Lonchura striata: one gene and its partners. The protein of the gene in region 2 interacts with the protein of the main gene of each other region in a pairwise test. Links are inferred from orthologs where the notes say so. Each region holds a gene or a part of one and is shown on either strand. Other genes may lie near its edges.

What was found. The genes of interacting proteins can lie anywhere in the genome.
Region 1: the proteins of SUFU (region 2) and HDX interact in binary tests that used the Homo sapiens proteins (3 or more experiments, as listed by UniProt). The link is inferred for Lonchura striata from reciprocal best matches to the Homo sapiens genes SUFU and HDX.
Region 3: the proteins of SUFU (region 2) and GLIS3 interact in binary tests that used the Homo sapiens proteins (3 or more experiments, as listed by UniProt). The link is inferred for Lonchura striata from reciprocal best matches to the Homo sapiens genes SUFU and GLIS3.

What each region holds. Positions count from the first base shown.
Region 1 is NC_134616.1:4,436,534-4,444,264, forward strand, and holds the start of HDX (highly divergent homeobox), read left to right. Parts: upstream 1-4,688; 5' UTR 4,689-4,881; intron 4,882-7,731.
Region 2 is NC_134609.1:20,014,990-20,022,623, reverse strand, and holds the start of SUFU (suppressor of fused homolog), read right to left. Parts: upstream 3,036-7,634; 5' UTR 2,976-3,035; coding exon 2,800-2,975; intron 1-2,799. Other genes in the region: ACTR1A (alpha-centractin), read left to right, coding at 5,022-5,069. UniProt on the Homo sapiens protein: Negative regulator in the hedgehog/smoothened signaling pathway. Down-regulates GLI1-mediated transactivation of target genes. Down-regulates GLI2-mediated transactivation of target genes. Part of a corepressor complex that acts on DNA-bound GLI1.
Region 3 is NC_134642.1:16,924,542-16,931,524, forward strand, and holds the start of GLIS3 (zinc finger protein GLIS3), read right to left. Parts: upstream 3,044-6,983; 5' UTR 2,980-3,043; intron 1-2,979. UniProt on the Homo sapiens protein: Acts both as a repressor and an activator of transcription. Binds to the consensus sequence 5'-GACCACCCAC-3'.

The DNA.
Region 1 (7,731 bases), on a different chromosome or scaffold from region 2:
GCTGTTTCCTTTAGAACTAAACCTACATTTAAACCTTTCCTTTAGTTTGGCTTGCTGTGACTGAGAGAAAAATGAGCTTGGCTAAATCAAACAAGGTAAGAGAAGCAAGGAGAAACACTTGAAGGAACTGTTGGGTGATGGTTATTTTTATTCCAAAGGATTAGGGACAACCACTACATTAAAAGGAAAAAAAAAAAAAAAAACAACAAACCACTTTTCAGGCTCTTTCAGCCCAGTCAAGGGTACAAGAGAAAAATAAGGATTGGTAGCAAGAGGGACAGGCACAAGCTTTGGTGGAGATGGAGTAAATGTGCACCCACAGGTAGAAGAGAAGGAGCAGAGGAAGGTTTGATTTTGGGAGAGCTGAGCACATGGAAAAACCATCTTAACCTCTGGAGAAATACAAGTCAAAGAAAAGCAAAGTGCTGCCTAAACTAATAAACGCTTTGAAGATTCCAACTCAACATTTTCTTGGCTGCTTTTCTAAAAAAGTCATGGGAAATAAGAATTGTTTGGGCTTCACATTTAGGTGAATCATTTCACCAATTCAATTAGGTTTGTAGAGGGAAGATAAATGACAAAATGAGGGGCTGTATAGATATTTTTTTTAAATGATAGTTCTCTTCCTGGTTCTTTGCTTTCTCATGCCTGGTTTTGTTTTCATTTTTATTTTAAAAATATTTTTAATTTTCTCTTTGTATTATAAAACTCCCTATGCTAGGAATACTAATGGGTGAAAAATAAATATACAATATTTATCTCCCTCTTTGGATAAATTTTTGGTTTATTGCATTTTTATATGTTCCTCGAGTTCATAAGTTTTCCTGCTTGGTGTACGAAAAATTATCAAAGGCAATAAAAATGCAAGGAAGCAGCATCTCCGATTTTCTTAAAAATATCCCAATAAGATAAAAAGTGGAACAAATCCTTAAAATATCTACCCAGCCAGGCTCTTTTCCATTTTTTTCCCATAAGCACCAGCTGTTTTTTCCATACCAGCACAAAGGACATACTTACAGATTCAGTTTATGGGAGCTTTGTTTATGCACTGGGTAAGGATTAACACATAATTTTAATTAATATGGCAAAACCAAGTTCAAAGAAGACAGAAAATTTGTAAATCTTGTAAGACCACTAATTCTGGCTGGGCTTTTAGATGCAGAAAATGTGCTGCATGGAATTTTCCATATTAACATTTTTCCTAAGGTTTACACACTGTAATCCTTTCTTCATCACTATTTCACACGGAACCTCCTGATTTAGTAGATTTTTAATTGCACCCTTGTACTCCCAATATTTAGTGTGTCTTTTTAATATTTCTGTAAACTGAGCATCGCTGTTGTCGTTTGGGTGTTCATTGAGCAGAAAACCTGGGAAAGAGCAGGAACTTAAACCAAGAACTTGCTTTTTAGAGCAACTTTTCCCCTGCAAATCCAATGGTATTGATAGGAAAAGAAGGACATGCATATTTTGGTGGAATGAACCAAATGAATATTTAAAATCATCAATAATTATAAGTAATAATAATATATAATATTTTTATAAATTATAATAAATAATTATAAATAATAATTGTTATTTAAAATAATAAATCAATTCAAACTTTGTGGCAGAATAAGGAGCCTTGCAGAGACACGAAGCAGTAAATATTACATATCTTGGTTTTAGCAAGGTTTTTGGAATGGTCAGACACATTCTTGGAGGGGACAAAGCCTCAGAACTGCCTGAGGAGCTCCTCAGGGAACTGCTGATACACTTGTCCAACAAAATGAAAGGAGCAGCAGGGTTTTCCTGTGGCCACTCTTGAACCTGAAGTTTAATAAATCTCTTCTGAAGGTTGAACTTATCAAAGATTCGGGATGAATGATAGCAAGAAGTTCCCAAAAGGAGCTTGGTCAAGCACCAGATCAACTCCAAGTTTTTCCACATTGGATTTTCCATACATTTTCCCAAGCACCAGTTGGACACTTTGGGGACAAGGGACAGATTCAATCCAGGTTCCTTTTTGGCTGATGCAATGCAGCCCCATGATTTCATGCCTTGGAGCAGCATCAGAGCCAAATTTCTCAGTGGGGTGGAGAACAAAATTTCCAGGTGAAAATGAGCTCTTTTCCACCCTGTTTTCACTCCCTCTGACTTTATAGGTGAGCCCAAGGTCTGGCTTAGAGCTACATCCTTTAAAATATCCCCTAAACAATGGCATCCTGAAGCAAGGAAAGCTGTCCTGAGAAAGGGTTCTGTGGAGTGGGGTGGGTTTGCCCCTGTGGCTTCCTCAGTGTTTTCCAGACTCCAAAAAGAGCCAGAGAAATGGAAATAGCAGCTGTTGCTCTAAACTGTGTGACCAAAGCTGTCCCACACCAGCTCCCAAGTCCTTGCCCAGGAATTCCGAGCAATCCCTACAGAGTTTCCTCTCACCTGCACGATCTGCTGAAAGTCTGAGAACCTGCGAGCTGCTGGAACAGGGAAAGGTCTTGGAACCTTTGTGTGATCCTGCAGCTGGGTTCCTGAGGGTGGAATCGTTTCCCATCCAGGGAGCCGATGCAGATGTTCCCAGCTGCGGCAGGAAATGCCCACCCCCAGCCCTGGCCCCAGGGCTTTCCCTGCCCCTAGAACCACACCGGGGTAAGTCACTAGTGGTGAGCTGGGCTCCTCACTTTAATGAGCTCGTACCGAGGAGCTGCAGCACAGCCTCACTTTGATGCTTATTCCCCCATGGAAGGACTCCTTTCATGTCCCAGATCAACCTGCCAGCCCCTGTTAATTTAAATCTGTCATTAATGAAGGAGGAAGCATTTAGATCTGGTGGCAGGAGAAGAATATTTGGTTTATTTCATCCTGACATAGTGTTTTCTTCCTCAAGGTTTGGCTCCTTAAGAGGCATTACCAGGAAAGGAAATATATAACACGAGATTCTTTCTGGAGCTTGTCACTCTTCTGCTGCAAACAGCAGCAGCTTTGTTAACTTGCACATTCAGCCTCTTCTATTGTAAAGAACATTACTGTGATCAACAAATCTTCTTTTGGGGCCACAAGTCTGCAAACTGGTTTCTTTGACAACTTAAATACACATCTCATGTCTCCTTCAAGAACGATTCTATGAGTTTTTTGATGAAAACTATAGAAAAAGCACCTTAAGCCCATTGTTAGTCAAATTAGAACCCTTGAAATATTACTTTCTATTATTCACCATTTTAAAGGAGTTTAATAAGCTGCATTTTATCAGACACCACTGTATTTTTCAAGGGATGTTAGAGAGACTGTCTCACCATTTTTGTTTCCCAAGCTGCAGATAACATGAAGAAGAAAACAAACCAAGTTTCTTAGGAATCCTTCCATAGCTAATTCCAAACCAATTATTTTCTATAAAAGTGGTGGAGTAGAGGTTTTATGGTTGCTGTATTTAAGTTTTACAGGGCGAGTGTTGATGGTACACAGAGGAAGGGAACATATCCAGGAGACAAAGCAGCACAACAGAAGATTTAGGGTTTAAATATAGGGGCTCTCTCTAAAGTTCCGTTACTAAATCCAGGATGTTTACTACACCATAGAATTATAGAATGGTTTCAGAAGGAAAGACCTTAAAGATCATCTGTTCCCAATTCCCCAAAGGGACACCACCACTAGTTCAGAATCCGTGTTAAAATTTTTAAACAATGTAAACAACTTCTTGCAATTTTAAAATAAACATAAACACTGTCTGCTTGTCTACTCCCTGCCTACAGAGAACCAGCAGCAATTGTTTTATTTCAGTCCTGCAGAAATATTTACTGGTATTTCTAATTAAAGCATCATACAAAATTAATTGCCTGTTTAATATTTTAACATCGTGACTTTCAGAGGAAACTACTTGGAGTAGGGATATGGCCTGTCTGGAGGCTTTGCAATGAACACAGGTCTCAAATCTGAGTCTGACTTCTCAGTGTTCTGACAGCCAAGCCAATAAACGGTGATTTTCCATGATTTCCACCACACAATCCATCAGGATGGGTCAGCAGTGTGCCTCCTGCTCCTTTGTTGAGGAGGTTTCCTTTTGGAAGGGAAATGGAGCCCGGAGGAGGGCTGGCACTGAGGCACCTGGCTGCTCCTGGGTCCCCATAAGGACACAGGGGTGAGTGAGGGCGGCTTGTGCTGTCACCAGCTCCTGCAATGCCCACCTGGACACATCGGCTTTTCCTCCCTTCCCAGACCAAATGTATCCATCCTGGGAAAGAAAAGGTTTATTCATTGAGTGCCGTAATATTGATGCAAATGGAAGCCCTTGGTCCTTCACAGAGCTTTTTGGGCTTCGCTGGGCACAACCTCCTTGTGAGCCCAGGCTGCAGAATGCAGTGGGGTCACAGGGATGGGCACCCACAGAATCGCTGGGTGGATGGGTTGGAAGGGAGATCACCCTGACCAAGGCGGGGTCACCAGGTGACACAGGAAGGTGTCCAGGTGGCTTTGGGGTGCCTCCAGAGAGGGAAGCTCCACGCCCTCACGGAACGGAGCTCTTCCCCGTGCTGTGGCGGAACTTCTGCTGTAGTTGACGGGCGCTGCTCCTTGCGCTGTCCCCGGGCAGAGCCCGGCACCACCCTCCCGGGGTCATTTACAGCGGACTCCGTCCCGGCCGGCCCGCCGAAGGCTCCGGGCCGGCTCTGCGGCCGGGCCGCGGCGTCGGCCGGCGCTGCCCGCGCTCCCGTGCGCGCCCCCCCGGCGGGCGGCGGGGGCGGGCGCCGCGCGGGCCGCGCTGATCGCAGCGCGCCATTGGCCGCTGTCTGCGCGCACGTCACGATCATGATGAGAATTAATGATCGGGGCCGCTGATTTCATTGTGTGACGCCGGGACCGACCCAGCCGAGCCCGGCCGAGCCCGGAGCCCCCGCGCCGGCCCCGCGCTGCACGGTAAGCGCGGGGGAGCTCCCCCCCCTCCCACCCTGGGTGGGGGAGCGCGGCGGGGCCCCCGAGCGGGAGGGGCGCGGCGGGAGGAGGGGAGGAGGAGGAAGATGATGATGATGATGGTGGTGATGATGATGGTGATGATGGTGGTGATGATGATGCCGGCGATGCCCCCCCTCCCCCCGGGCCCGGCGGCGGGGGTGGGGGGAGGCCGGCGCGGGCTCGCGCGCGCGGACGCGCCCGGCGCGCGCAGGCGCCGCTGCTCCCCCCGCCCCCACCCCCGGCGCGGCCCCGAGCGGGGGGGGGGGGGCGGCGGGCACGCGCCGGGAGCCGCCGGGGGAACTGCGCGTGCGCGCGCAGCCGCTCCGCGCGCGCCAGGGGAGCGCCCGCGCGCGTGCGCCGGGCGGGGCCGCTCTGCGCGTGCGCGCCGGGCCCGGCGGCGGCCCCTCAGCCGCGGGTGCCTCAGCGGCGGGCGCGGAAACATCGCGGTCACACAAGTGTCGCTGCCATAGAAACATCGCCGTCACGGCAGCGTGACAGTGACAGAAACATCGCGGCGACAGAGCCCGGGAAACAGCCCGGGATCCCCAGCACAGCCTGTTACCGATCACCGCCCCCGGCACTCCGTGCCACGTCCAGCCTTGCCTTAAACGCCTCAGGGACGGGGACTCTGCCGCCGCCCTGGGCAGACCCTTCCAATGTCTGACCGCTCTTTCTGTGGAGGAATTGTTTATAATGGCGGTCCCAAACCTCCCCTGGCACAGGTGCTGTCATCGCTAATTTCCTCATTCCCCGGTGTCTCAATCACTGAATCACTGAGGTTGGGAAAGAGCTCTGAGATCACCGAGTCCAACCTGTGCTCAGTCCCCACCTTGTCACCCAGCCCAGAGCACTGAGTGCCACCTCCAGGGATGGAGTCTCCAAACCTCCCTGGGCAGCCCCTTCCAATGTCTTATCACCCGTTCCATGAACAATTTATTCCTAATGTCCAACCTAAACCTACCTTGGCAAAACTTAAAGCTGTGTTCTCTTGTGTCACGGATTGCCTCAGTCCTTAGCGCCCGGTGTCCCCAGTGGCTCAGCGTGCCTGTGTTGGCAGGGGTGTGGAAGAAGATGAACTTCAGGGTCCCTTCCAACCCAAACCCGTCTGTGATTCCATGGTACCAGCCTGCTGTGGTTGGACAGGGGGCCTTGTTCTGCCACGCATTGATCCCTCAGGTGTTTGAGGATGAGGAAGAGGACGTGTCCTTGGCTGTGCTCTTGTGGAGATCTCACCTCTTGAAGTGCTTGTGTGGCATTCACCTGCCCGAGCAGTCCCCAGCCCTGTCCCCCCTTATCCTGGGGTTTCTCACTCTGTGGATAAGAACACACATGACTCACCTAAAGTATGTGTCCTCCCAGCTGGACTCCTGAAGCAGCTCACATGTTCAGAGTAGCACTGCATTTTGATGTTTCTTCCTTTTTCTGACACAGGTCTTACAAAACATGTACATGCTTTATTTAAAACACGTGGCTAATCCAGCTGCAGTCAGGAGTCTCATTTGCATCAATAAAGCAGGATGGGATGCAGAAACCTGCAGTGTTGTGGTCATGGGTTATTATGTTATTAAGTTACTGAGGGCTGTCTAATTTGTCCCTAATAAAGGGCTGCATTTTATAGGTAGGGCTGTAATACAATCCTACAAACGCTGTACTTAGTGGAGAGGGAAACAATTATGCTGCGAGTCACGGATATTTAAAAGTAGTTTTACAAGCTGGTGTGTACATTACACTCACCCAAGCATTGGCCTCATCTGCTGCACTTGGACTCAGTGGTTTGGCCTGTGTAGGAAAGAGGCACCAACCTAAAAAATCAGAATATTAAAGGTTGTTGCTTGATGTGTGTCCAGTATCTCCACATAGTGTGTAAGTTGGGGGTTTGGTTGGTTGATTGTTTTCTTTCCATTTGGGATGTGCAAAAAATTGTGGTTTTGGCAGCCTTGGAACGTGAATGAGATTATTTCAGTTCAAGTTTCTAAAGCTGGAGGAATAGTGTCACTACTGCAGTCTGGTTTTATTTATGTCTGTAGTAGTTTTCTTACCATAGTTCCAGTTTTGTCTCAGATTTGTATTGGCACTAAGACTTGTTATTTTTTGCCACTGGAGATCTGTGGAAGAAACAAAATAAAAAATATAAATTGGGAGTGTGCCGATTTTCTTGTACCTCTTACAGATGGAGAGACTAAAACAGAAATAGTCTTTATAAGGTGACTTTTTTCCTAAGAAAATGCCTTTTTGGAGCTGAAGTTAGAAAAGAAAACTCAAAAACTGATTGTTCCTTTTTATCACTTTGTGTTAATCCCTGACAGTTTTAGAATATGTTATACCATAAGTGTTTTTATACTTAGTTACTTCCTGGTGACTTGTACTCTTGAGTTAATGAATTTATTTATTATTTATATGACACCCAAGACTAGTTTCTGTTGCTGTTTGAAGTGAGTATAATTATGGGTTTTTCCTATTTTTCAAATTAATTAGTATAAAGACTTGTAAATGTTTGCTTGATTCAGCAATCCAAACATTTAAGGACTTTAGGAGACCAAGATCGTACTGCTGTGCATTGTAGGGAGAAATTGTGTTTTTTTCCTTATGCTGCTCCTTTATCTTTTCTTTATTTTTTCCCCCCAGATCTCTCAAGTAATTGCAGATCAGCTCAGTAACCCCTGAATTATTTGATTACATTATTTTCCCCCATTTCCTTATAGTTGTCATTCTTTTGTGGCACTCCTTGACATGAAGTTGTTTCCATTAGCTGCTAAAAAGGAATGACCTGGCTTCACCAGGTCTCCCCGGAGAGATTCCTGATTTTGGAATGTT
Region 2 (7,634 bases):
GAGGATTTTATTAGGAAGAGCCCAACTTCAAAGCCAGAGGTACAGTACAAATTTGTTACATTCTCTATTCATGGAGCTCATTCAGGAGCAGGAAGGACCGCCTCAGGGGAAACCCTGTATTTGCATCTGCACCAAGAATCTTCTTTTGACTGATGTTAAGAGCACTCCGAAGTTTGTGTGGAAGGCGAAACACAAAACGCAGAGAGGAAAGAGACCCACAATGGAAAGTCATTGGAAAACTCCACTCCTAATTCATCCACCTAGAAAAGTCCTTAGTGTATTGTTTGTAGTCACTTCCCAGAAGCTGACAATAGCATTGCTCTTCACAGCTACCTTTTGAGAACCTTTCAGAAATAGTGTGTGATTCCCAAAAGGCTGCGGACCACAGCTCACTGCACAGGTTTTTGTAAGTATGGCCTAAATTTAAGACAGGTGATAAAAACCCAGTAGTCAAGGCCGAATTATACTTATTTCAAAACCCATCACAAAAAAAGAATAAATTTTATTTTTTTCACCAGCAATTCTATGCAACAAGATATTTAAATTTGAGATACTCTACCACATTTTATAATAAAAGTGGATATTGGATATCAACAGACAAACTCCATCTTGGTGCATGGCCTTCACAAAAATAGACAGAAACGCTTCCAAGAAGTTCTGATTGGATCCCAAGACTTCTCCCAACATGGCTAAACCCCTTTATGCAACAGGCATGGAGTTCTGCAGATTCTCCAATGTTCCACAGTTAGGATCTGCTCTGATCTGCAAGCCAAAGACTACAACTTCAGCTCCCTGAACAAAAAAAACCAAATCGCTGTTAACTGTAGAGAAACTGATACATATAATTAAAAGCTGATTAGTGATACAATATTTCTCCTAAGGCAGAGAATTTAATTCAGCCATTTCCTCTTCTAATGTAAACCAGCTAATAGCTGGCAGCCCAGGCAGAGTAGGACAGATTAGCAGAGAGTTGTGGCAGGAGTCGTTCTACTTAAGAGAACTTAACAAAATCAAGCTCCAAGTTTTCACCCAACAACAGGAGAGAAAGAACTTCTGGTGTCCATAGAGGTTTTACCTCACACAAGCATTTCCTGCACAGGACAGCAGTAGGAAGCTCACCTCTACAACAGAAACTCTCAGCTCTCACTGCTGGCTGAGCTAACAGCTGGAGGAACCACTAAGTGGAAAATGCCAGGATAAACAGGCCTTCACATTACTTCTTACTTGCAACCTGCCATCACTGCCAGCAACAATTCTTTTAGCGTTTGAGCTCCAACTGCAGCAAAACCCTAATCAATCCCTTAAGCAACAAGGTTTCTTCCCAAACAAGGGCCTTTGCCATTCTTCACTACAGACCTAAATTTCCCTCAGCCTCCAAAAATCTTATGTCAATACAGTCAGTATGTTTTAAGCTGTTGATAGAAAAGAAGTGCTAACGTGACTGGAAACTCTTCATGAGTATCTAAGATTAGACATAGGTGTAAAAACAGACTGATCAGACCACCACCAAAGTACTGATGTGCACAATGACTAAGAAATTATTTATATTTTGAAGTCTCAAATTTGCAATATCTTAGCCCACTGTGTCATTTTAATACAATACTCCCCTAGACAATAAGGGCTAACAAACTTCTTGCTAGAATCACTTGAAAAACAACACTTCTGTGGACAAAAACAGCAATAGCTTTGTCTGTCAGAGCAGCATACAGGGAGGATGTTATTCTGCTGTTGCTCAGGTCTCTAATTAGATAAAGACATACAGGTTGAAATGAGCTGTAACTAAAGAAGTTGAGCATTTACTAGTTTTTTTTTCAAGTACTAGGGTAGGGACAGGCCAATGTGACATAAAGAAAACATTCAGGGGTGACTTGATCATGTTCCTTAGCCCCAGAAGAAGGGGCTGCGCAGCTAAGCGATCCAGTTAAGCAAAAAGCAAAAGGAACTCCTCTTCACACGGGATTAGACACTAGACACTTATCTTGATAGCTAAACATCCAAGAACTTCCTTCATGCCACTCTCCCACATAAACAACTGCTGTTCCTGGTGTCAGACACTGTGTCAGCAGAGACACTGAACAGCAGATTCACATTCTGTGATAACACATAGCTACGTAAGGCCAAGAGAAGCTGGCAGTGCCCCGTATGGGCAGGGCTGTATGGGTACACAGGGATGTGCCCGGCCTGCAGGCTGCAACAGCGGGTTCGCTCCGGTCCGTGCCGCCGCACTCGAGCCCCAGGCCCCTGGCCAGAAGACAGAGCCCGGCACTCCTGACCGGGGGGGAAACTCCAGACCCTCCCTCACCTTCTGCGGGAACACCTCCACTGAGTAACACGCACGCCCTTTTCATAAGACCTGCCCCAGATGGGGCCTTCATCAGCAACCCCTCAGGCGTGGACCCTCCAAATCACCCCAGAAACCCCAATACACTCTCCTGTCCTCAGGGCACACCTCTCCAGACCCTTCTATTACCAGCACATTCTCTCCAGGAGCCCCCTCCAAACACACACCTAGGCAACCAACTGCACCCCCAATCCCCCCATCCGCAGACCCGCTGCATGTCCCCAAAACTCCCGCAAATCACCCCTGACACAGAACGCAACCCCCAGTCCCTGCCCTTGCCACAACCCTCCCCAGCCCCTCCAGCTTACCCCGTGCGACGGCCCCAGCCCCAGTGCTTCTCCCAACCCTCTCCCACTCCCACTCCTCCTCCCAAACCCTCTCCTATCCCACACAAGGCGCCGGCCCCGCGGCTCCCCCCGGCTCCACGCAAGACCCCGGCCCCATCCAGGCCGCCTCACCAGTACTTGAGGATGGCGGTGACCTGGAGCGGGTTGGGCTGGTCGGGATAGAGGCGGCGGCACTCGCCGTAGATACCGTGCAACCCCGGCGGGAACAGCGACGGGAAGGACCCGGACCCCGAGCCGGACCCCGGCCCGCCCGCGGGGGGCCCCCCGCCCGGCCGCACGCCCTCCATGTCCCGGAGGCGGCTGGTCCCGGCCCGTCCCGGTTGGTGCCGAACCCGCTCCGCTCCCGCCAGGCGCTCCCGGCCCGGCCCTGCCCGGCCCAAGCGGCTGCGTGGGGCCGCGGGAGGAGGGGCGGGGCCTACTGCCGGGCCGCGTGAGTGACAGACCGCCTCCGCCAATGGCGGCGCTGCGCGGGGCTTCGCGCAGAGGAGGTGGGGCCCCGCTGCAAGGGCGGCGTTGAGTGACAGGACGGACTGACCAATGGGAGCTCGCCGCCCGGAGGGCGGCCGCGTCTCTGCCCCGCCCCTCGCTGCGGGTCGGGCGCGCCCCCTAGCGGCGGCGCGGGGCTGGGCGGTGGGCGGGGCGGCGGCCGCGCGCGGCGGTGGCGGGAACGCGGAGCGGGTCCGGGGGAGCGGGAGCTCCGCGCCCGGCGGGCCCGGGAGCACAGCGGGGCTCTGACTGCTGCCTTTACACCCCCGCCAATGCAGGGCCCTTGGAGGCAGCTGGAAGCTGCCAGTGCGTGAAGTCTGGGGCTCTGCGATCGCGGATTCTGGCTTGTGCACAAGCGCACTGACGGTCTGGCTCATTCCCGAGCTGCAGCTACAGCTGTGGAGGTGCAAAGCCGGGTATGTACATGTGGATGGTGTGTGCGCAGTAGTTTACACACCTTTGCTAGAGCAGGGTCCTGCTTGTTAATCAGGAAATAGAAAAAAAAAGAGCTATAGAGTGCTCAGCAGAGATGGTGGGCGCCCTGCTCGCATTTCTCACTTAAATAGGTGAGAGTTTATTCTAAAAACTTTCACAACACCATTTGGGGGAACACACATGGTGAAGAAGCTGACAGCCAAATGACAATCCTCTGATAAAGGAGGTGAGCAGTTGGTGTCCTCACTTTCCACAGTGAAAAATATTTCACTTGTCCTGTTACCATGATACTACTTTTTGTGTCATCTGCCTGAGTAGTCAGCTGCAGTCAGCTGAGAAGGTGAGTGTAACAGAGTATGTAGAAAGGCTGCGTTGGAAACACCCATAGTGAGTGTCTCCTGCCATTCACTGAAGTGATACAACACTGTCTTTCATCTAAACCCCTCAATCCTGCTGTATAAAAACTCCCTCTTTTAGACTAGGTGAATGGGGAAGGTCGCTAAATGTAAACATCTGGGATGAAACTTATCTACTGGAGCTAAAGGCAGGAACTACAGGAGAAAAGTCCATGTCTGCAGGAGAGATGTGGGACAAGACAGGTGAGTCAAGCCTTCAGGTTTGCTCAGTGGCATGAAAATCCATTTTAATTAGTTTCAAGATCCAGAGTTTCAGTGATCGATTATTCCAAGTGCTTTTAGAATACTTAGTCAATGGAAATGACAGTGTGTTCATTGTTCAATACTGAAATGATCATGATGTGTATTCTTTATACTGACACCTCTTTTGTGGTTCTTGTACCTCAAAAATGGAGAGAAACTGGTGTTTCGTGGAGGGAACAGATGACTTATGACCAGTAGTTCATAAAGATGATCACATGAAATTATGGGACAATAAAACACTTTCCGTAGTCATAGATACCCTCTACAGAAGTTGATATAATCACCTTTTTCTCCTTTCCTATTAGAAAAAATTAAGAGGGGAGAATCTATTAAGCGGAAGCCAGCCAGTTGCGGTGCAGCGTTTCCGGTGGAAGCACCCAGCTATCTCCTGGACCGCAACATTCTCCGGTGTCTAGGCCGTGGATGTGTCCGCAGGATTCCCTTTTTCCGCACTCCGCCTCCCGGCACGCCCCGCTCCCGATGCCGGCCTACAGTTCCCGGCATGGCCCGCTCCCAGCGCCGGCCTACAGTTCCCGGCATGGCTCGCTCCCGGTGCCGGCCTACAGCTCCCGGCGTGCTCCGCTCCCGGCGCGCCTCCCCGCTTGACTCTGCGCAGCGTCGGACTATAACTCCCGGCAGGCGCCGCGGCGGCAGGAATACATCACCCAGGCGGCGCCGCGTCGCCGCTCCGCGCATGCGCCGCCGAGGGCTGGGCTGTTGCTCCCTCACGGGCGGCTGCGGCGGGTCCTCGCCATGGAATCCTACGATGTGATAGCGAACCAGCCCGTCGTGATAGACAACGTGAGTGCGGGCGGCCGCGCGTCCCGGGAGCGGGGAGGGCCCGCAATCCCTTTGTCATCGGGGCGGCCGCTCCCCGCCCGCCGCCCCCCCCCCCCCACCTCGGCCGGCTCGGCCGCCGCCTCCGGCCCTCGCACGGCGCCATACGGCGTCCTCGGGGGGCGGGGCCGCTGCGCCTCGGCGAGTCGCGATTGGCTGGGGCGAGTGGCAGTCAGCCACGGCGGGGCCGCTGCCCCGCGCTGGGGGGCGCAGCCCCCGCCGCCGCTGAGCTGCCGCTGGTTGGGAGGGGCGGCGCGCCCCCATTGGCTGAGACAGCTGTCAGTCAGCGGCGCAGCCCGCTGCTGCCTGCCGGAGCGGGGCGGGACTGTCGCCAGAGCACCCGCGCTCATTGGCAGCTGGCGCTGTCAGTCGGGCGGGGCTTCCCCGGCCCCGCCCACCCCTCTTTGTGCCGGGGGGACAATGGGGGTGCTGGGCCAGGCCGTGGCCACACTGCCAGCGTGCTGTGGGGCAGGCCTTGGCCAGGGCTCCAGTGTGCTCCTGCTAGGCCGTGCTTGGACCCCAGCAAGCTCTGGGGGTGCTGGCGCTTCCCTGGCCCCGTGCAGGATATGATGCTCTGCAGCCAGGCACCCCTCGCAGGCCCAGCGAGGGAGAAGCCTTGACCTCTTGTGCCCCCTCATCCAGTGCATCCAGCACAGTGGTCACAACAAGGCAGTGCCCCTCACAACAAGGGAATGCCACTGCTGAAGGATCTGTTCCCAGGGTTACATCAGCGCAGTGTGGTGTTGCAGATGGCTGCTCCAGTATTGCTGATGGTGCTCATTAGCACAAAGCAGACCTTCAGTCTGTGTATGTAATAGCTCTGCAGGAGATGAATGACAGTGATTCTGTGCCTCTTTGAGGTACTTCTGGGTCCAGTTCTGATTTGCCCCATCCATGCTGCCCTCCCAGGAGGAAGGACCATCCAGGAAGGAATGGGAGGGCATGTCTTGGATAGAGCCTCCTTCAGTGTAATGAGTCACAAACTCGTGCTCCTCCCTTCTGACCTCTATCGCCAGTGATTGATATTCTGTTGTTTTGAAGGGTCAGTGCTGTGCTCCATTTTTCTTCCACAAGCTTAATTTCTCCCGATTTTTTTTTTTCCATATGAATTGGGTTTCCTGCCCTGGCAGTTCTCAGCCTATTGCTTTAACTCTCCATGCAGTGAATGATTGTAGGTCTTCTCAGATAACGGCAATTATTCTTCTGACTTTTTCTGTATTGTGGATCCCAAATTCCTCTCTCTGATACAGTTTTGGCTTTATTTCCCTGGAATCTTACAGATGAAGGATTTTAGTTAGACATGGAAGGAAAGCATCTAATAGAAAAGGATAGTAAGGAGTGAAATTGACTGTGTTGAGAAAAACATGTATGTCCTTTACTGAATATGTTAAAAAATGCATTAAGTTGATTGTTTTTAGGAATGCCTGTATCAGCACTGATCCTGCTGCATTGTTGAGTGATTAGCTAAACATTAAAGTTATCTCTAGGTATTCTGGAGCTGTGAGGATCACTTAGTTGAGCTATTAGTGCAGGAGCAGCCTATATTTAATTTCAGCATGTCCTTTTGTTATTTAGTGCAATGATTGCTGCCTCTGCCTCAGACCTGAAGAAGGCCTCATGTGCCAGCAGCTGATTCTGTGTCTTTTTCATTTTATCAGCTGGTCTTATAAAAGCTAATTCTTGTTCTTGCCTCTCCAATAAACGAGCTTCCCCCTTCCCCTCCCTTTACAAGAAGGAGAATGGAGCAGTTGTTGTGGCATCTGCCTGTAACGCTGGCAGGCTCTGGGCCAAGGAGACTCGTGGTGACACTGCATTTTTGCTACTCTTTGGAGTTCAGGCAGGATGGGAAGTGGAGCTGCACAGAGCAGGTACCACTTCTCACTGCTGTCTCATTACTGCTTTTCTGCAGAGAACTGAAGAAGGCTGAATGTTATCCTGTCTCACATGTGCCTGTGTGTGGAAAGGGGGAGGTGAGATACTGAGCTGGTGAGAGCCAGACCCCTCCAGTCCCAGCCCTGCTCTAGAATTAAAGTGTGTTCCAAAAGGACATGAAGTTCTGTAGCTAAAAAATTAACAGGGACGTTTATTTCTCTTACCACAAATTGCTCTTAGCTGTATGCTTTCAGCAGGGAGAGCTTTGTAATGTACAGTGGGAAGCTGGAGCTGTACCTCAGCACAACTTTTTACTCTTGATTGTCTAATTTTTAAGAGTTGTATTCCCATCTGCAGTCCAACAAGTTCTCTCTGAACGGTCTGGGAGCCCTGCTGAACATAATGCACATGTCAGTAGTCCAGCTGTGGCCTAAGTCAGTGCAAATTCCTTGACCTCCATAGAACTTGGAATTATCTCTGGTTTGCTTTGTAGTCTTTAGTGGTGGCATTTTATGCAGCTGAGCTGTCATCAAGGGCTCTTGTCTTTGGTTTGTTCTTGATCTTAAAAATTCTTTATCTAATAAAACAGTGTTACAACAATATGAAATGTGCACTCTCCATAGAAAGTGCTACATGAAAGATTGACTGGTGATTTCC
Region 3 (6,983 bases), on a different chromosome or scaffold from region 2:
CTTCTGACTTTGCATCAATAACATTATGACAACATAAGTGCTCAAAATCCATAGCAATGACTCATAAATTGACTTCCATCAAAATAAAATTTAAATTCAAGCTGAACCAAAGCCTTGGAAAATCCAAACACTACTCCTTGAGAAGGTGAAACAAAAGAATAATTCACAAATCTATGTCTGTAGCACAGTATGCTATATCGTCTACCTTTCCAGTGCAGTTTTGAGAGCTTTAATCAGAGTTGGCTAACTGCTTCACCCACTGAAAGGAGAGGTAAAGTACTTTTCAATTTCAACAGAAGCAGAGATCAGTTTAAGGAATAGTAAATCCAGCTCAGGAGATGCTTTCATGGAAGTAGTTATTAGACACTGGCACTTTGCATGCAGTGTAGCAAGCACTATCACAAAGGAGAAGACTGAAAGACAAGGCACTCAACCTTCTATTTTTCCACTGGACACATCTCACCTCTGCAACAGCTACCAGACACCACAGAAATCAAACATGAACCATAACCCCCTCCTCTAGGACTGTGCATTCCAAGACTGTGAGTGCCTGCCCTCATCCCAAATATGAATATGGATAACCAATACTCTCACCATGTTCCCCTCAACAATTTCCTTGGCACAATTCCAGGGAAAAATTTACTTCCTCCCAGGGCTGAGCAACAACATGGCCACCCAAAGTGTCTACCTACCCTTTGAGCTCTATTCTCCCCTATCAGCCCTTCCATCTATGCATGGCCATGGTTTCTGGAGCATCATCTTTCAGTGGCACCACAGTAAAATACTCAGAAGTATTGGCATCACACATGATGAGCCAGTCTGGGTGCACAGGACTGTGATGGAGAGGGGGAAGGAACAGGCACCAAAAGCTATAGGGATGCTTCACCTGAGCCTCACTGACTCCTGAGGTTTTTGTGTGTCACAACTGCTTGTGAGAAAGACAAAACCTTATACAGGTGCAAGCCACCATGATTTTCTAAATAGAGCACACATGCATAGGAAGTGCTACAGTTTTTGTACAGTTATCTTGCTCTAGTTTGCAGAACAGAGCACAGCAATAAATTCTCATTGAAAAGGAAAACCACATAGAGATTTAACTAGGCAAGAAATAATAACTGAGAGTTTGAAATTACGCTTGGAATAATAGGTACATTAAGAATTCCAACTGCAATAAAGGAAGACAATGTGCTTTCAAAACTGGGGCTAAAAATAAGCTTTTCTCTCAATTTATATAGAACATCTTCCCCACCCTCCATGTCTCCCAGCATCTCAGAACTCACTCACTACTGAGAATAATAAATATATCAAATTAGCATCCACTGTTTTGATAATTTGTATCCATTTCTTCACAGTAGTATTCTTGAAGTACCACAGGGGTCTTCATTCCAAACTGCAAGTAGTCTGAAAATATCACATTTTTCTAAGGTCCTGGTTTTCAGCCAAGGAAAACTAGAAAAGTTCACACAAGCTGAAGGTTCTTAGTTCTTGAGCATCATCAGAATGATACAGCATAAACAAACAAGGTAAATGATAGCTAAAGATCTTCCACAGCACTCAAGGCAACCAGGCCCCAAATATGATTGAGTTTCTCAGAGCTAGTCTAATGAAATCTACTAATTACTTATTACTTGCATCACTATAATTCCTAGGAAGATTAGTCACAGAAAGGAATGCCTTTGTGCAAGGGACTGTACAAACACAGAGCAGAGCACAGTCACTGATACTGCTGCAAATGCCACCAAGAGAGCAGCCATTATCAGTGGACAGGATGATGTATATCCTAGTGTAGTTACCATTCTTGCCAGCCTGCCAGAGAAACCTTCTCAAGTTTATTATGTTAATAATAATAGATTGTTAAGATCTCATAAGCTTCCTCTCTACTAGAACCTTAAATATCAGAGTGGTGCTACTGCAAGTGGTTGCACCAAATGAATAGCATGAGCTTTCCAGGAGCAAACTTATTCTCAGCAGGGCTAGCTACAGCCTTCAGACAAGGTGCTTGAAAAACCCAATATAGATCAGTCAGCACAGAGTACCTGAATCTGAGCAAGCTTTCTGACATGCCATCAGTAGCCACAGCATCCTTACCTATCAAACAAAGGTTTCTGCAAGCCTTTCGTGCACCTTTTACTCTCAATGCTGCCTTGTTCACTTTGCCTCTAGTGACTTGGAACTTTCCAGGAGTGCAGGCACAACTGCTAATGCTGCCGTGTCAGCAGTGGTGATATCTTCAGTCCATGCAGGACATAGAAAACCACCAACAACGTCCCCAGAGGCAGAGGTATAGGGCCACGGACACCTGCCCTGACTTGGTGCCCCTGCTACGACCACTCCTCGTGCAGGAGGCCACCATAGGTTGCCCGGTTGATGGCCCGGGGAACAACTAACGCCACCCTTATCACTACCACGGCTCATCCCACAGATCTCGCAATCAAAGCATGAGCAGGATGAACTGGGGCCAAAAGCGAACAAGGGAGGAAGGCACAGCTAAAAGTTAATTAATTTAGTCTTTTAAGAGGCTGGAGTTGCTAGCAATGTACAGGCCGGCAGATGAAGAGAGCTGTCACCTCACCAAGCACGACACGTCTGGTCTCTTGCGGACGGGGACAGTCCCTGGATGAGAGGAAGCCCCGGGCGGGACACTGCCCGGCACCAGAGCCGCGAGCCTCCGCGCGGCAGCTCCGCGGGATGCACATCACTCCGGCCGGTACCCCCGGCCGCTCCCGGCTTCCCGCCCGCGCCGCTCCGCAGCCTCCCTCCGCGGGTACCTATCTCCGGTTATTCACCAGCGGGATGACAAATCTCCCGGGCGTGCGTCTGTCCCGTCTTTCCAGACAGAGCTGCGTCCCCATCTCGGCGGCGGACCGGCCGGCGAGGTGAGTAACCGCGAACTGACGGCACCACAAGAGCGTTTGTTTTGCTTTCCCTTCTCCTCCGCCCTCCCCGCGCTGACACGGAGGCCGTGAGCCGCCGACTCACCCTGTCCCCGCCGGGGCCGGCGGCGCGGGGCCGGGAGCAGCTCGGCGAGCGGGGCAGCGCAGGGGCCGCGCCGCGCCGCACGCCCCCGGGCGCGGGCACGCTCGGCGGGGCGCGGCGCCGCCGCGGGGCTCAGCGCTCCGCTCCCGCCTACCCCGCGGCAGCCGCGGCCCCCGCCGAGCGCGGCAGCCCGTGCCCGCTGTCATGTGCCCGCCCTTAACCCTTCCCGCGGCCGCGCCCGCCCCGCCGCCCGGGAGGAGCGGTCCCGGGGGGCACAGCTGGGCAGGGGGACACAGCTGGGCAGGGGGACACAGCTGAGCAGGGGGACACAGCTGCGCAGGGGGACACAGCTGGGCAGAGGGACACAGCTGGGCAGGGGGACAGCTAGGCAGGGGGACACAGCTGGGCAAGGGGGACACAGCTGGGCAGGGGGACACAGCTGGGCAGGGGGACGCAGCTGGGCAGGGGGACACAGCTGTGCAGGAGGGCACAGCTGTGCAGGGGGACACAGCTGGGCAGGGGGACACAGCTAGGCAGGGGGACACAGCTGGGCAGGGGACACAGCTGGGCAGGGGGACAGCTAGGCAGGGGGACACAGCTGGGCAGAGGGACACAGCTAGGCAGGGGGACACAGCTGCGCAGGGGGACACAGCTGGGCAGGGGGACACAGCTGGGCAGAGGGACACAGCTAGGCAGGGGGACACAGCGAGGCAGAGGGACACAGCTGGGCAGAGGGGCACAGCTGGGCAGGGGGACACAGCTAGGCAGGGGAACGCAGCTGGGCAGGAGGACAAAGCTGGGCAGGGGGACACAGCTGGGCAGAGGGACACAGCTGGGCAAGGAGACACAGCTGGGCAGGGGGACACAGCTGGGCAGGGGGACACAGCTAGGCAGGAGGACACATCTGGGCAGAGGGACACAGCTGGGCAGGGGGACACAGCTGGGCAAGGGGACACAGCTAGGCAGGGGGACACAGCTGGGCAGGGGGACGCAGCTGGGCAAGGGGACACAGCTGGGCAGGGGGACACAGCTGGGCAGGGGGACGCAGCTGGGCAGGAGGACACAGGTAGGCAGGTGGACGCAGCTGGGCAGGGGGACACAGCTGGGCAGGGGGACACAGGTAGGCAGGTGGACGCAGCTGGGCAGGAGGACACAGCTGCGCAGGGGGACACAGCTGGGCAGGGGGACACAGCTAGGCAGGGGGACACAGCTGGGCAGGAGGACACAGCTGCGCAGGGGGACACAGCTGGGCAGGGGGACACAGCTAGGCAGGGGGACACAGCTGGGCAGAGGGACACAGCTGGGCAGAGGGACACAGCTAGGCAGGGGGACACAGCTGGGCAGGGGGACACAGCTGCACAGGGGGACACAGCTGGGCAGAGGGACACAGCTGTGCAGGGGGACACATCTGGGCAGAGGGACACAGCTGGGCAGGGGGACACAGCTGTGCAGGGGGACACAGCTGGGCAGAGGGACACAGCTGTGCAGGGGGACACAGCTGGGCAGGGGTACACAGCTAGGCAGGGGGACACAGCTGGGCAGGAGGACACAGCTGGGCAGGGGGACACAGCTGGGCAGGGGGGCACAGCTGGGCAGAGGGACACAGCTGTGCAGGGGGACACAGCTGTGCAGGGGGACACAGCTGGGCAGAGGGACACAGCTGTGCAGGGGGACACAGCTGGGCAGGGGGACACAGCTGGGCAGAGGCGGGGGGAGCAGGGGTCTGGCAGGAGGTACAGGGGGCTTGATGGGGTGGTCCTGTAGGGGCTGGAATAAGCCGAGGGGGAGGCTTAGGGGTAGGGGCGGGCTGCACAGACGCTGGAGGGGATGAGGGAACGGAGGGGTGCGCTGGAAGCCAGAGGTGTTCGCGGTAGGGGAGGCGGGGGTGATTTTGTGTCTGTGTGTAACGGAACCGGGGGAGCTGCGGTACCGCACCAATTCTGGCAGAGGAAGAAGCAGTAGGGACTGCAGGGTCCCTGGAGGATAGTCTTTGGGCTACATGCTACGGGCTTTATGGGGAATGCGTGGGGAGTTGCACGGACGGAGGCTGTAAGGGGGCCTGGATGTGACCTGTGTGTGACGTGTACGAGAAAACCTAGTGCTACGGCAGGGTAGCAGGTAAAACAGAGGGTTTGGGAAGTGGGAAATAGGATGAAGTGGCTTAATGTCTGCTGGCATTTTTCCACCAGGCATAGAAAGCTGTGATATGCATGCAAGAGCCCTTCTCAATTAGGAGGAAATCTGACTTGGAAAGACCACAGGACTAGCGTTGTGATAAAGCTGGAAGTATCCACTCAGAGCAAAAACACAGGGATCCTATGGCCCCAGGCTGATGATCAGCTCTCGCAGCAACAGTTGCAGCCAAGAGGTAATTGCCATTAAGAGCCCCCATTGCTCTCGAAAAGACTGCTGCACATGCAGGATATGTCCCAGCTACTGAAACATATTGGTTCTTTCAGTTTGGGTCCACCTTATTCCCCTCTGGTGTAATTGGAAAATTGAGAATATAAATGAACTGAAGCTAGAGGTGAATAAAGCAGCTGAAAAGCCAGACTCAGAGAGCAGCAAATTACTCAATCGCTCTACCAGCATGAGCATGCAGACCTCATGGTAGGGCATCCTATCAGCCAGCGAATCTCCAAACAAGGGAGCCCACTGACATGGCTGGGCAACTGAAGAGTGCAGCAGGTGCACTCTGTCATGCCAAGCATGACCAACCCTGCATTTAAAACAACTTTAAATCCCAGTTCTCCAAGAATAAGAATGGCACTGTGGCAGTCCTGATTGCTTCTTGCAAGGTGACGGGAAGCCTGTATCCCTATCCTGCTGCAAGAGCTGTTAGGAGGAGAGTTGAGGGAGGGGGATATATTTTGGTATGTCCACATCACTGGGCTCTGCTAGGTCAGCCTGGATCCTTAGCTGAAGAAACTCTTCCAAGCTAAAGGTCCTTCGTCATTCATTCATACTACATCCAGTTAATGTGACTGAATTTCATAAGTTGGTACTGTGTTCTTTACATGCCCAGAAAACCCAGCAGAGATATTGAGCCTTCAATCTTTCTTTTAAAGTTTCATGGCTTTCCAGTGTTTTGGGATTTTTTTCTAAGTGTATGGACACTTAGAAATTGAGAAACTTGTAAATAAATTTACTATTCATAGCACACTTAAAGCAGAAATATTTGTAAAATGTGTCTCACTTTAAAAATCATAGTAAAAGAACCGACAACTGAAAGGGTCTTTTCCACATGAAAGCACAGAATTTATTTGTGAGCTCAATGAGCTTTTTGTTTACTGTCTCTTTACTCCTGCTATATGCCAGAATTTTCTATGCAATTATCATTTAATTGGAAGTCTTCACTAAAAAGTTCAAAGATTATCCAAAAACTAACCATGATAGCCATGGTAATGTATGCAAATGAGTAACACAGACAGCAAAAAAGGTTTATACTGACAAAGTGCTCATTTTAATTCAAATCTAGCAAATAAATGGTGAGTTTGTGTTAAATAAATTGCTTTAAATAGCCCTGACAATACCAAAAGCCAATTCTAATCACCATTTTAAAAATCTTTTTCCCTTATCAAGTTATTTCTATGTATGTGAAGTAAATTTTCTCAATTTTTTCATATGAAAAGAAGTGATGGATCCTATCACCTTGAGAAACATGTGGTCTAAAACATAAGATACAGGCAGCCTTTATATACAGGATAAGAACTTTTGTTGTCATGGATGAAGCCTGATTAGAAGTCCTGAGCATAAAGTAAGGAAGACAATCAGAACCTCAAATTAACAAAGTTAGCATTAGAAACTGTAACTCATATCCAAAGACAATGCTTAATTTTTGATGTGCTGAAATAGCAGCAAAGCTTATGTAAAATAAGGCAGGTAAGACTAATAAGTGCATTAAAAGTAAGTGCATCCAAAGTTTTCTTAGTGAGTGACACAACTGCATGTTCATAACTGTCATACACTGTTGCATATTCATATCCATCAGTATGAACCCATACTCA